Linked DNA regions of Neodiprion lecontei. The protein of the gene in region 1 binds, or shares a complex with, the protein of each later gene. Links are inferred from orthologs where the notes say so. Each region holds a gene or a part of one and is shown in the gene's direction. Other genes may lie near its edges.

Region 1 (5,904 bases):
TACTAATGTGATGACTTTAATGAACTCTCTCCGCAGTCTGTGATTCAGCCAGATATCTGAATAGGATTTTGGTGGTCTGAAAGCTAGTATGAACATTCTATAGATGCAGGAGGCCGTGCATATGAGGTGTGAACTTTAGAACAGAGTCGTTGAACGGAATATTTTATTTACATGAATGACAATATGTGAATTAAGATATTTAAGTAGTAGTTCTGGTTTCTTTGTGGGATAAAGATTCCGATGAAAAATATTTTAGGAATAAATGGACGTGCTGTTATAAATATTACCGAAAACTTGCAGAGAAAGCTTGATTTGCAATGTAGATGCACTGTTTTTCAAATCAATAATACCACTCTACTTTATATACATAAGAAAATCAAGTTAAATGCCCTGGCATGAATGGGAAATACGTTTAAGGTTCTAGAAACCTCTACAATAAATTTATTAATACGCAGGTTTAACATACTTTGCGACAGAAAGCAGTTTTACGGATACTTCACATAAACTGATAACCCGCGTACAAAGCAGCACTGATAAAGGCAAAAAAGTAATGGCAACTTACCTGGACCTTGCTAAAGCTTTCGATACAATACCGCATGAATAATTACTCAACAAACTCGAGGCAACAGGAATACAAGGAACAGCAAAATGGTTTCGAAGCTAGCTGAAGGTGAGAACACAGAGAGCGAAAATTGGAAACACATACAGCGAGAAAACGAAGTTACTCTGCGGAACCCCGCAAGGAATTATGCCCTCAGCTCTACTCTTCAAGATTTATCACAAAAACACACACCAAACATGGACAAGAAATAGAAGAATACATTGCAAACAAAGTATAAAACAGACTACCCCCGCAAATGAAGAAAAATGAAGATGTACTCCTTCAAGAAATCAATTACACCATGGCTACTACAGGCAGGCAGAACACTATACGAAGAGTTGACAAATACAGGGATTTAGAACATATAAATTAAGAAACAGTTAACTTTTAACAAAAACAGAAAAAAACAACAATAGAAAAATATATTGTAAAAAAAAAATCTACACCCCATGCACCATACTTGCAGATAACACAATTAAACAGATAAACATCCTACAATCCTGCGCGCGAGTTTAGACTCATGTAGGAACAATTCACACTGAAATACAAATGTATGTAAAAACCTATATGAGGGAATAAACGATAAACAATAATTTCTTTCAAACTTTTCAGTGGACATTTGGCCTATTTTGAAAAATAGTCAAATTCTTCGATGCACCACATCGACATAATTTTGTGAGAGGAATCGATTGCGCACAGTTCGAATATGCAATCAGATTCTTCATCTCGCTTTTTTATTTACCACATTTCTTTACACTTCCAATTAGGAATTCTAGATTTTAAAATTCTTCGAATAAAAATGTAATGGACCTTAGCCATTGACCTAACCACGTGGGTTTCGATCATGTTTCGATGCGCGGCTTTTGCCATTGCGTCGGTACTCATTTTCATGAGCGACTTTTCCCGCTAACGGCGTGGCGATGCCGCGTCAAGTTACCATCGTGTCAATTAGACGCCCGTGAAAGTCCAGCCTGTAATCATACGACTCGGTTGGTAAATGAACGTGTCAGTAGGGATTTTATCGGTAATAAATACATTGCTCTGTAATTTCTAAGTTTTCCTGATGCGACGCCACATGCAAGCTGGTTGCTAGCGCCACTTTAAGAAAACTACACACATTCATTTACAAATACATTACAAATGCTTCAGAGGGTGTCGAGTTATGTTTGGTACTTTGGTTATATTTATTAAACGTCACTAGTATACGACTAACGAAATATTGTTTTGCAAATAAGTCCTGCTGGTTTATACTTTCTAAGTTAAAAGTTGCGTCGAATAAAATAGAAAATGCTCGCGCTCAAAGAGTATGTGAGTAGCGATGATAACAGTGAATCCGAAGAAGCATCAAGTGTCCCTGCAACAGAGATTGAGGTTAACGATTCGACCATTTCAACCGATGAAGCAGTGCATTTAAAACCACTGCCTGGAGGGAAATCCATATCTTCTCTCGCCCTCCAAGTCAGATTAGCCCCAGAAGTTGTTCCAACGGTAAATAAATTTATTTATATCACCTTGTGATTAAATTGTCATTGTTAATTATTACATTTAAATTGTTTATTAGGGCACAGAACTATGCGTTCGACACATAGATTCTACGTCAAAAGAGGTAATGCACAATCCAAAATTTGAGGAACTCTTTGCACCTGATGTAGGACCAGATAATCCATTCAAAACACAGCAGCAGAGAGCAACAAAAAACATGCTCTCTGGATACGTGGAACAAGCGCATATCAGTGAATTTCAGTTCGAAAACCAGCGTCGAACTTTTACAAGTTACGGTCGGTATTACCCATGACTGTATATTAGGGTGTTTTGATGCAAAATTTTTATTTTGAACTCTACCTGAAAAACTTATCCATAAGATAAGCAAAATCCTCTCCAACGGATAACTGTTACATCCAATTTTAAAAGATTGTTCAAATAATTGAAATTCAAAGATTTTGTATTCAAATGGTATGGAACAGATTTCAAATTTTTTTTTTTTCAATTGTCATCACTGAACTACGATTAGTAAACAAGTAAGTTCTTGACTAAAGTTTTCATTGAGTGAAATTTATAACTCAAACGACTCGTAAGTTGTGATACTCGGGTAAAAGGTCAGTTTTTTCCATAAAATCATCTTTAAATGTTTTTTGTGGCTAAATTACTGGCTTTACAATAAAAATCTTCATGGCGAATTTGTAGGCAATTCAATTCTCTATAAATATGCTCCGTGGACCAAAGTCTATAGCTTCAATAGTTCACAATTTGTAAGTCTTGAAAGTTAACTTTGTGTAGAAATTCATTTTTAAATATCTTTAGTGGCTAAATTATTAAGTGTACAACAAAACCTCGGCACTTTTTGGAAAGTTACATTCTCTACAAATTACTTCCACGATTAAGTCTGTATCATTAAATGCAGCTGAGTATTAAGAATTTGAAAAAATGTAATCTGCTCCATGCTATTTAATGGGGAAACTTACAATTTTGATAGCGACCTTTTCAAATTGGATTTAAGTGATATCTTTTTGTTCGAATTTTTCTGTTGAATTGTACAAGTTTATCAGGTGGGAATGAAAAAAAAAAAGTTCTTGTCAAACTAAGTTACTTGTTCATCAATTCTGCAACCCTTGCGAGTGAAGTTTATTTAACGGAAAAACTTTGATTCATCAGGGTACGCATTGGATCCCACAGTTGATGGTAGTACAGAAGAAGGAAAAACTCTTGTCGGCGCCAAAGAGGCTGCCGAAGAGACTGGAGCAAAGACAGTATTTGAAAATACCGAATTGAGACCTGCAGACAAGAGAAAAAGAAACAGAAACAATGATCCAGCCGATATTGAAGGATTCTTGGGTCCTTGGGGAGGCTACGTAGACGAAAGACGAGTGATAAAACCTACCGAGGAAGAAGCTGCTGAGCTTGAAGAAATCTTAGCCAAAAGAAATAAGAGGGGCAAACAGACCGAAGATAAACCACTTGAGGAGAAGACTGTGCTGCACAGTGAGTTTAATTTGCTGATGGTCATTCAGTTGAAATTCGCTAGATTGTGATGTGCAACACATTGTTATTCACTCTTTTTTAGTCAAGGACAGTGTGGATTACCAAGGTCGATCATTCCTGCACGCACCACAAGATGTGGGTGTCAATCTACGGTCAGAATCACCACCCGATCGATGTTTCTTACCAAAATCCCAAATTCATACGTGGGAAGGACACACCAAGGGTATTTCGCAAATTCGGTGGTTCCCACGAACGGCGCATTTGCTTCTTTCCTGCAGCATGGACTGTAGAGTCAAGGTGAGTTGTCAATAAAGCACAATGCCTCATACCTTAACTAACGTTTCATTTATTCTTACAGCTGTGGGAGGTGTACAAAGACAGGAGGTGTGTTCGTACTTATTACGGGCATCGACAGGCTGTGCGCGATGTCAGTTTTGATAATGACGGAAAACGGTTTCTGTCTGCCGGCTACGACAGATATGTTAAACTTTGGGATACTGAGACTGGCGCTTGCCTTAGTCGTTTTACCAGTCGGAAAATACCTTATTGTGCAAAGTTTAATCCTGATCCAGACAAGCAGCATCTGTTTGTAGCTGGAACAAGTGATAAAAAAATCATTTGCGTAAGTAATATGAGTTTTGCAGTATGAATTGACCCAATTTAATCAATGTCATTTTCTCTTCATTAGTGGGATATCAGGTCTGGTGAGATTACTCAGGAATATGACAGACACTTGGGTGCTGTTAACACGATTACATTCGTTGATGAAAATCGAAGATTCGTCACAACTTCGGACGACAAAAGTCTCAGAGTGTGGGAATGGTATGTAAGAAATGTGAGAGGTTAGCCATTTTCTAATCTGGTTTACACCACTCGTGAAATCATCTGAAATCTCATCAAATCTTAAAATCTTGTGAAATCATTAGTGATCTTTGAAATCATGTGAAACTTTCTAAATCGTGCGTTCTTGAAATCTGGTATACACAGAAATATATGAATGTGTACCATCAGGAATCTCAATATTCTAACTGAAAATATATTTTGTAGGGACATTCCGGTAGATATGAAGTACATAGCTGATCCAACGATGCACTCAATGCCAGCTGTTACTCCATCTCCAAACCAAAAGTGGCTTGCCTGCCAAAGTATGGACAATAAGATCGTGATATTCTCGGCTCTTAATCGGTTCAAAATGAATCGCAAGAAAACTTTTACCGGGCATATGGTCGCCGGATATGCTTGCGGACTTGACTTTTCTCCAGATATGAGGTAAGCCTTTGTGCCACTTGTACTTTACGTAAGGCTGTACAATTCATCTTAGACTTCGATTAATTGTTATTTCTAAGTTATCGATTAACTGAAAGGACCGATTTATCGATTGACCGAAAAAACGAGTAATTAAAAAAAAAAAGAACAAGATAATTCGATTAATCGCACAGCCCTATTGTAGGAATTCATTTCCTACGACTCAGTTGTGATACGCATCAACATCGTTTTACTTACAGCTATCTGGTTTCCGGAGACGCAGATGGTAAATGTTACATATGGGACTGGAAGACGACAAAACTGTACAAAAAGTGGAAAGCTCACGACGGTGTTTGCATCTCGACTCTTTGGCATCCTCACGAACCTTCTCGCCTAGCAACAGCTGGCTGGGATGGTAAAATCAAGTATTGGGATTAGAATCACGATTCCGTTGTATATGAATATTAAAATAAAATGAAAAAACAATTTGTATATTGTATAACTAAGTGTAATACCGAACATGTACATAAATCGACGATTTTATTTCTTTTTATACTTGTGTACATACTAGAATTCCTTGTAACTTGAAACTGTATCACTGATTCGTTATTCATGCATCTACTACCAATGGAGTTTCTTCACCACTATGGGATGAAGAAAATTGAGACAATCGTTAAAAGATGTGGACACCCTTATACACTTCACTTTTCAGTCAATTTTGGAAAATTGCTATTGATGCGAGGAAAGTTAAAAAAATAACCAACTATCGTATGGTTAATAGATATGTACTAGTTTAGCTGTATTTTAACCTTTGAAATTAGAAAAATTGTCCTTAACTGTTCAATTGTACTCATCATACTCGACGCAACACCTTTCGACATGTTTCACATGATTATGTCGAAACGATAGTGGAATTGTCAACAAACTTGGTACACATTCTATTTTGATGTACAGTTTTAGCAGAATCTAAAATAATTCAGTTGTAAACTAAACTCTGTCAGTTCTAAATTAAGGATGTGGTGGGTTCGATAATTTCAGTAGGTTTTTAGTAATTATATCGAATTTTAACACATATTTGG
Region 2 (4,277 bases), on another chromosome or scaffold:
CGTGAACCAGGAACCACGGAGCGCTTATCCTGGAAGTCGAGAAATTTTATCAGCGGACTGACAGCTACCGAATTTGGGGTTGCGCGAAAAACGAATTGAAATAATTTATTGTAAACGTGAACCAGGAACCACGGAGCGCTTATCCTGGAAGTCGAGAAATTTTATTAGCGGACTGACAGCTACCGAATTTGGGATTGCGCGAAAAACGAATTTAAATAATTTATTGTAAACATGAACCGGGAACCACGGAGCGCTTATCCGGGAAGTCGAGAAATTTTATTAGCGGACTGACAGCTACTGAATTTGGGATTGCGCGAAAAACGAATTGAAATAATTTATTGTAAACATGAACGAGGAACCACGGAGCGCTTATCCTGGAAGTCGAGTTTCACCGCGTAGCGGACCCGAAGCGCGGGATCCGGAAGGTTGAGAACCCAGTACTCGAAATACGTAGCGGACCCGAAGCGCGGGATCCGGGAGGTTGAGAACCCGGTACTCGAAATTTGCGGAGCGCGACTCTCATACGTCCGCTCTACTGCGCGGTTGTTTCCCGACTGAGGAATTCGGCTAGCTGATTTTGAATTGGTGACGTCACTTTCTGAACATCCGACATCCAAACTTTGGTTTCGAACTTTGATACTATGTATGATGATGTATGATGTACGATGTATGATGTATGATGTACGATGTACGATGTGTGATGTATGATGTATGATGATATGATATGATGTATAATGATTTTAGTTTTCACATTTCATACAAGAAATACACGCTTTATATCTTCTGCCGATTCCAGACTCAAGCGGCCAGGCCCTTCGATGGTCAGCCGTTGACTGAAGATATATCCTTCAGTTAACGGGTCAGCTAATAACGCTGCCGTTCTGCGACAGTTGGATGATGAAAAATTTCGCACGTATCTTTCAAATGTGTGTTAAAATACACTTTAAGTGTTAAGAAGCGTCGTTCTTTCTCTCCCTATCACCTTTCTAGGTCTTTAAATCACTGCGCAGCGTTAAATACTGTCTCATATACGAAGCATCCGTTTCATCTTGTTCAAAATTAGCGCATCCGTGATGTATTACAGTTACTCTGAATTTTTTTCCATCCGAATACTTTTCGAAAAACAATTCTGCTCCTCCACCCAACGCAGATACTTCACTTGCGACCAGCTAAAACAACGTTTCGATTCTATGCCTATGAAAATTCAAGATAGAGAGAGCAAGTGAAAAGTTGTTGGAATAATTATGAACATGAACGTTATGGAATACATGGAGCGCGTGTCGAATAGAATCCCATTTCGAAATGAATAATTCTTCTATTCTCGTATTATAGCTGTATTATTGTAGATAATCTAGTTTGTCTCCTGGACAATTATAAAATTCATAGTATGCATCACTTATTAATCGTTAATAAAATTTTACATGGACCGCATATACATATATACTTTCCGGTCTCTGCATCATTATTACATCTGATCTATTATTATTTATGATAATCGTCTATGGTAATATTCGGTAAGCACACGCAGGCTGCGTACTGGCTTGGGCTTACCATTGCGATGATCGTGTTACTCGGAAGGTGAATGCAGCCAGCATCATGTCGAAATCAGTAACTCTCTGATGATATGCAGCAAGATCTCACTTTTCATTCTACTGCGCAAGCACGGATCGGTCAGTAATTTTATTACTATATTTACGATCTTTTCGTCCCATGCGATGCTAGTGGCAGAGCGAAGAACTAATTGAAGGACGGGTTTTTCAGGACGCCGCTACTACATTCTCCTATGCTGTGTCCACTCCTTTACTCTAATCTCCATGGTTGTTACACCCACTGAAGTTATGCCTATGGACAGAGAAAGTATGTGATTGCGGTTATTTAGCGAAAACCCCAACAGCTGCGCCAGTGTCGCTAATCCACTTCCAAATTGTTCCATTTCGTAGAGTTCTTTAACGCTCGGATCTTGTAATGGCCACTTCCAAAACCACAAATACTTATAATAGACAAAATTGGGAAGATGCTGTAAGTTTGATACTATTTTGTATTGTTAAGTGATTTTTTCGTCAATGCTTCGTCTCTGTTGCAAATAGCCAAATTAATCCAATTCTTTCATTCACAGGAATTTCCGATCTTGTGTCAGACATGTTTGGGCGATAATCCGTATATTCGTATGGTAAGTAAATTATTTAATACATCAAATCTTTGTTGCATTACACCATCCCATCAGCACCTTAAATCAGCTAAAATTGTAATCACAACTGTGCAAGAGATTTTTACCTGTGTCAGTCACTTGAACCTAAACCTGTTCAAGTATTTAATAGTCAACATGAGATATTCTTTACATATAACATCTTGTTCACTATTTTGTGTATTTTTTGCAGACAAAGGAACGCTATGGCAAAGAATGTAAAATATGCATGCGTCCATTCACAGTATTCAGATGGTGTCCAGGTGCAAGAATGCGTTTCAAAAAGACTGAAGTTTGTCAAACATGTAGTCGTCTGAAAAACGTATGTCAGACATGCCTCTTAGACTTGGAATATGGCCTGCCAATCCAAGTACGAGATGCAGCGTTAAAAATTAAAGACGATTTGCCAAGATCTGATGTGAATAAGGAATACTATGTTCAGAACATTGACAATGAAATAGGCAAACTGGATGCAACAACTCCAGCAGGTGCTGTTGGTAAATCAGCTGCCGCCAGCGACTTGCTGATGAAGCTAGCAAGGACAAGTCCATATTATAAAAGAAACAGACCTCACATTTGCTCATTTTGGGTGAAAGGAGAGTGTAAGAGAGGGGAAGAGTGCCCTTATCGTCACGAAAAGCCCACAGATCCCGATGATCCATTAGCAGATCAAAATATCAAGGATCGTTATTATGGGGTAAACGATCCCGTTGCTGACAAATTGATGCGCAGAGCTGCAGCAATGCCAAAATTGGAACCACCAGAGGACAAATCAATAACAACTTTGTACATTGGAAATTTGGGAGATGTTTTAACGGAAAAACAATTGCGTGACCATTTCTATCAATATGGTGAAATTCGATCAATTACAATGGTGCCGCGGCAACAGTGTGCCTTTATTCAATACACACAGCGAAGTGCGGCGGAAGCTGCCGCTGAACGAACATTCAACAAACTAATACTGGGAGGAAGACGTTTGACCATAAAGTGGGGCAGGTCACAAGGCAGACAGGCTATTTCGGCCGCAGAAACAATCAAGGAAATGTTAGAGCCTGTTCCCGGGCTTCCTGGAGCACTACCCCCGCCACCTGAGAATATGGGCAACAATTTCTTCAATTTGCAAGCCACGCCAGGAATCATGATGATACCTCCACCTCCAGTAGCTCCACAATTTATGTTTACTCCTCCAATGGCTGCTGCTGCACCTATCTTTCCTCCAGGAACTACACCAATTCATTATCCAAGTCAAGACCCCTCAAGGATGGGAGCAACGCAGGGCATTGGCAAACCGTGGCCAGAAGAAGATTAATATTGGCATCAGTTTTAATATCGCTGTAAATATAAGACTTATATAATTACCTCTATTGCAAAAATAGCTTCATGCTTTGTCTTTATTATGAAAAACGAAGGGAGTTTGATAAAAATTGAGGAAACACTTGATAATTGGAAAATTTATATACCCATCTTCATTATTCACACTGTGGAAATAATAGGTCAGGTTTCACACCATACATAAACATTTACAATATTAAACTTCTCTGTATTAGATTACAAATAATAAAAACTAGAGCAAAGGTAAATGACATTATCTGTATTATTTATGTACCACGTCACTATTCAGTCTGACAAGATAGTTTTAACCACTGCCAGCAATTTGCTGCAATAGAGTATGAACGTAAAAATATATGAAATAATCACGTGAAATTTCAGAACATATTCCACTGAATTCACCTAGCACAATATGAAAGAAATTCAAAGGCCTGAAATAAGATGAGCAAGCCTATTATACAATAAAATACTTTATTCTGTAAGCTGCCATTAAAAAGATCTACATCATTACACATAATTGACCAAGATTTAAAAATTGTTTGCATATTAAACCATGATAAAATATATTTAGGTGAATAAATAATTTTGGCGTCGTATGAAGATCGATGAAAGAAGCGCGAGTCAAAAATTTGTAGATATAAAGATAAATTCGTGGAAGGCACTATGCATGTGAAAAAGTACGCACCCTTTAAAAAACATCATTTATATGTATTGAACATTACATGCCAAATCTGGATATCATTTCTGGACAGGATCATGTAAC

The links. Proteins that work in one complex are often made in the same cells at the same time.
Region 2: pre-mRNA-processing factor 17 (region 1) and pre-mRNA-splicing factor RBM22 share a complex: the UniProt entries of both Homo sapiens proteins name them as parts of the postcatalytic spliceosome P complex. The link is inferred for Neodiprion lecontei from reciprocal best matches to the Homo sapiens genes CDC40 and RBM22.

Annotation. Positions count from the first base shown.
Region 1 is NC_060261.1:15,302,087-15,307,990, forward strand, and holds pre-mRNA-processing factor 17, read left to right. Parts: upstream 1-1,734; 5' UTR 1,735-1,888; coding exon 1,889-2,089; intron 2,090-2,162; coding exon 2,163-2,379; intron 2,380-3,253; coding exon 3,254-3,580; intron 3,581-3,662; coding exon 3,663-3,877; intron 3,878-3,938; coding exon 3,939-4,202; intron 4,203-4,268; coding exon 4,269-4,402; intron 4,403-4,627; coding exon 4,628-4,849; intron 4,850-5,085; coding exon 5,086-5,263; 3' UTR 5,264-5,378; downstream 5,379-5,904. UniProt on the Homo sapiens protein: Required for pre-mRNA splicing as component of the activated spliceosome. Plays an important role in embryonic brain development; this function does not require proline isomerization.
Region 2 is NC_060262.1:27,059,819-27,064,095, reverse strand, and holds pre-mRNA-splicing factor RBM22, read left to right. Parts: upstream 1-1,831; 5' UTR 1,832-1,965; coding exon 1,966-2,019; intron 2,020-2,116; coding exon 2,117-2,170; intron 2,171-2,378; coding exon 2,379-3,494; 3' UTR 3,495-3,768; downstream 3,769-4,277. UniProt on the Homo sapiens protein: Required for pre-mRNA splicing as component of the activated spliceosome. Involved in the first step of pre-mRNA splicing.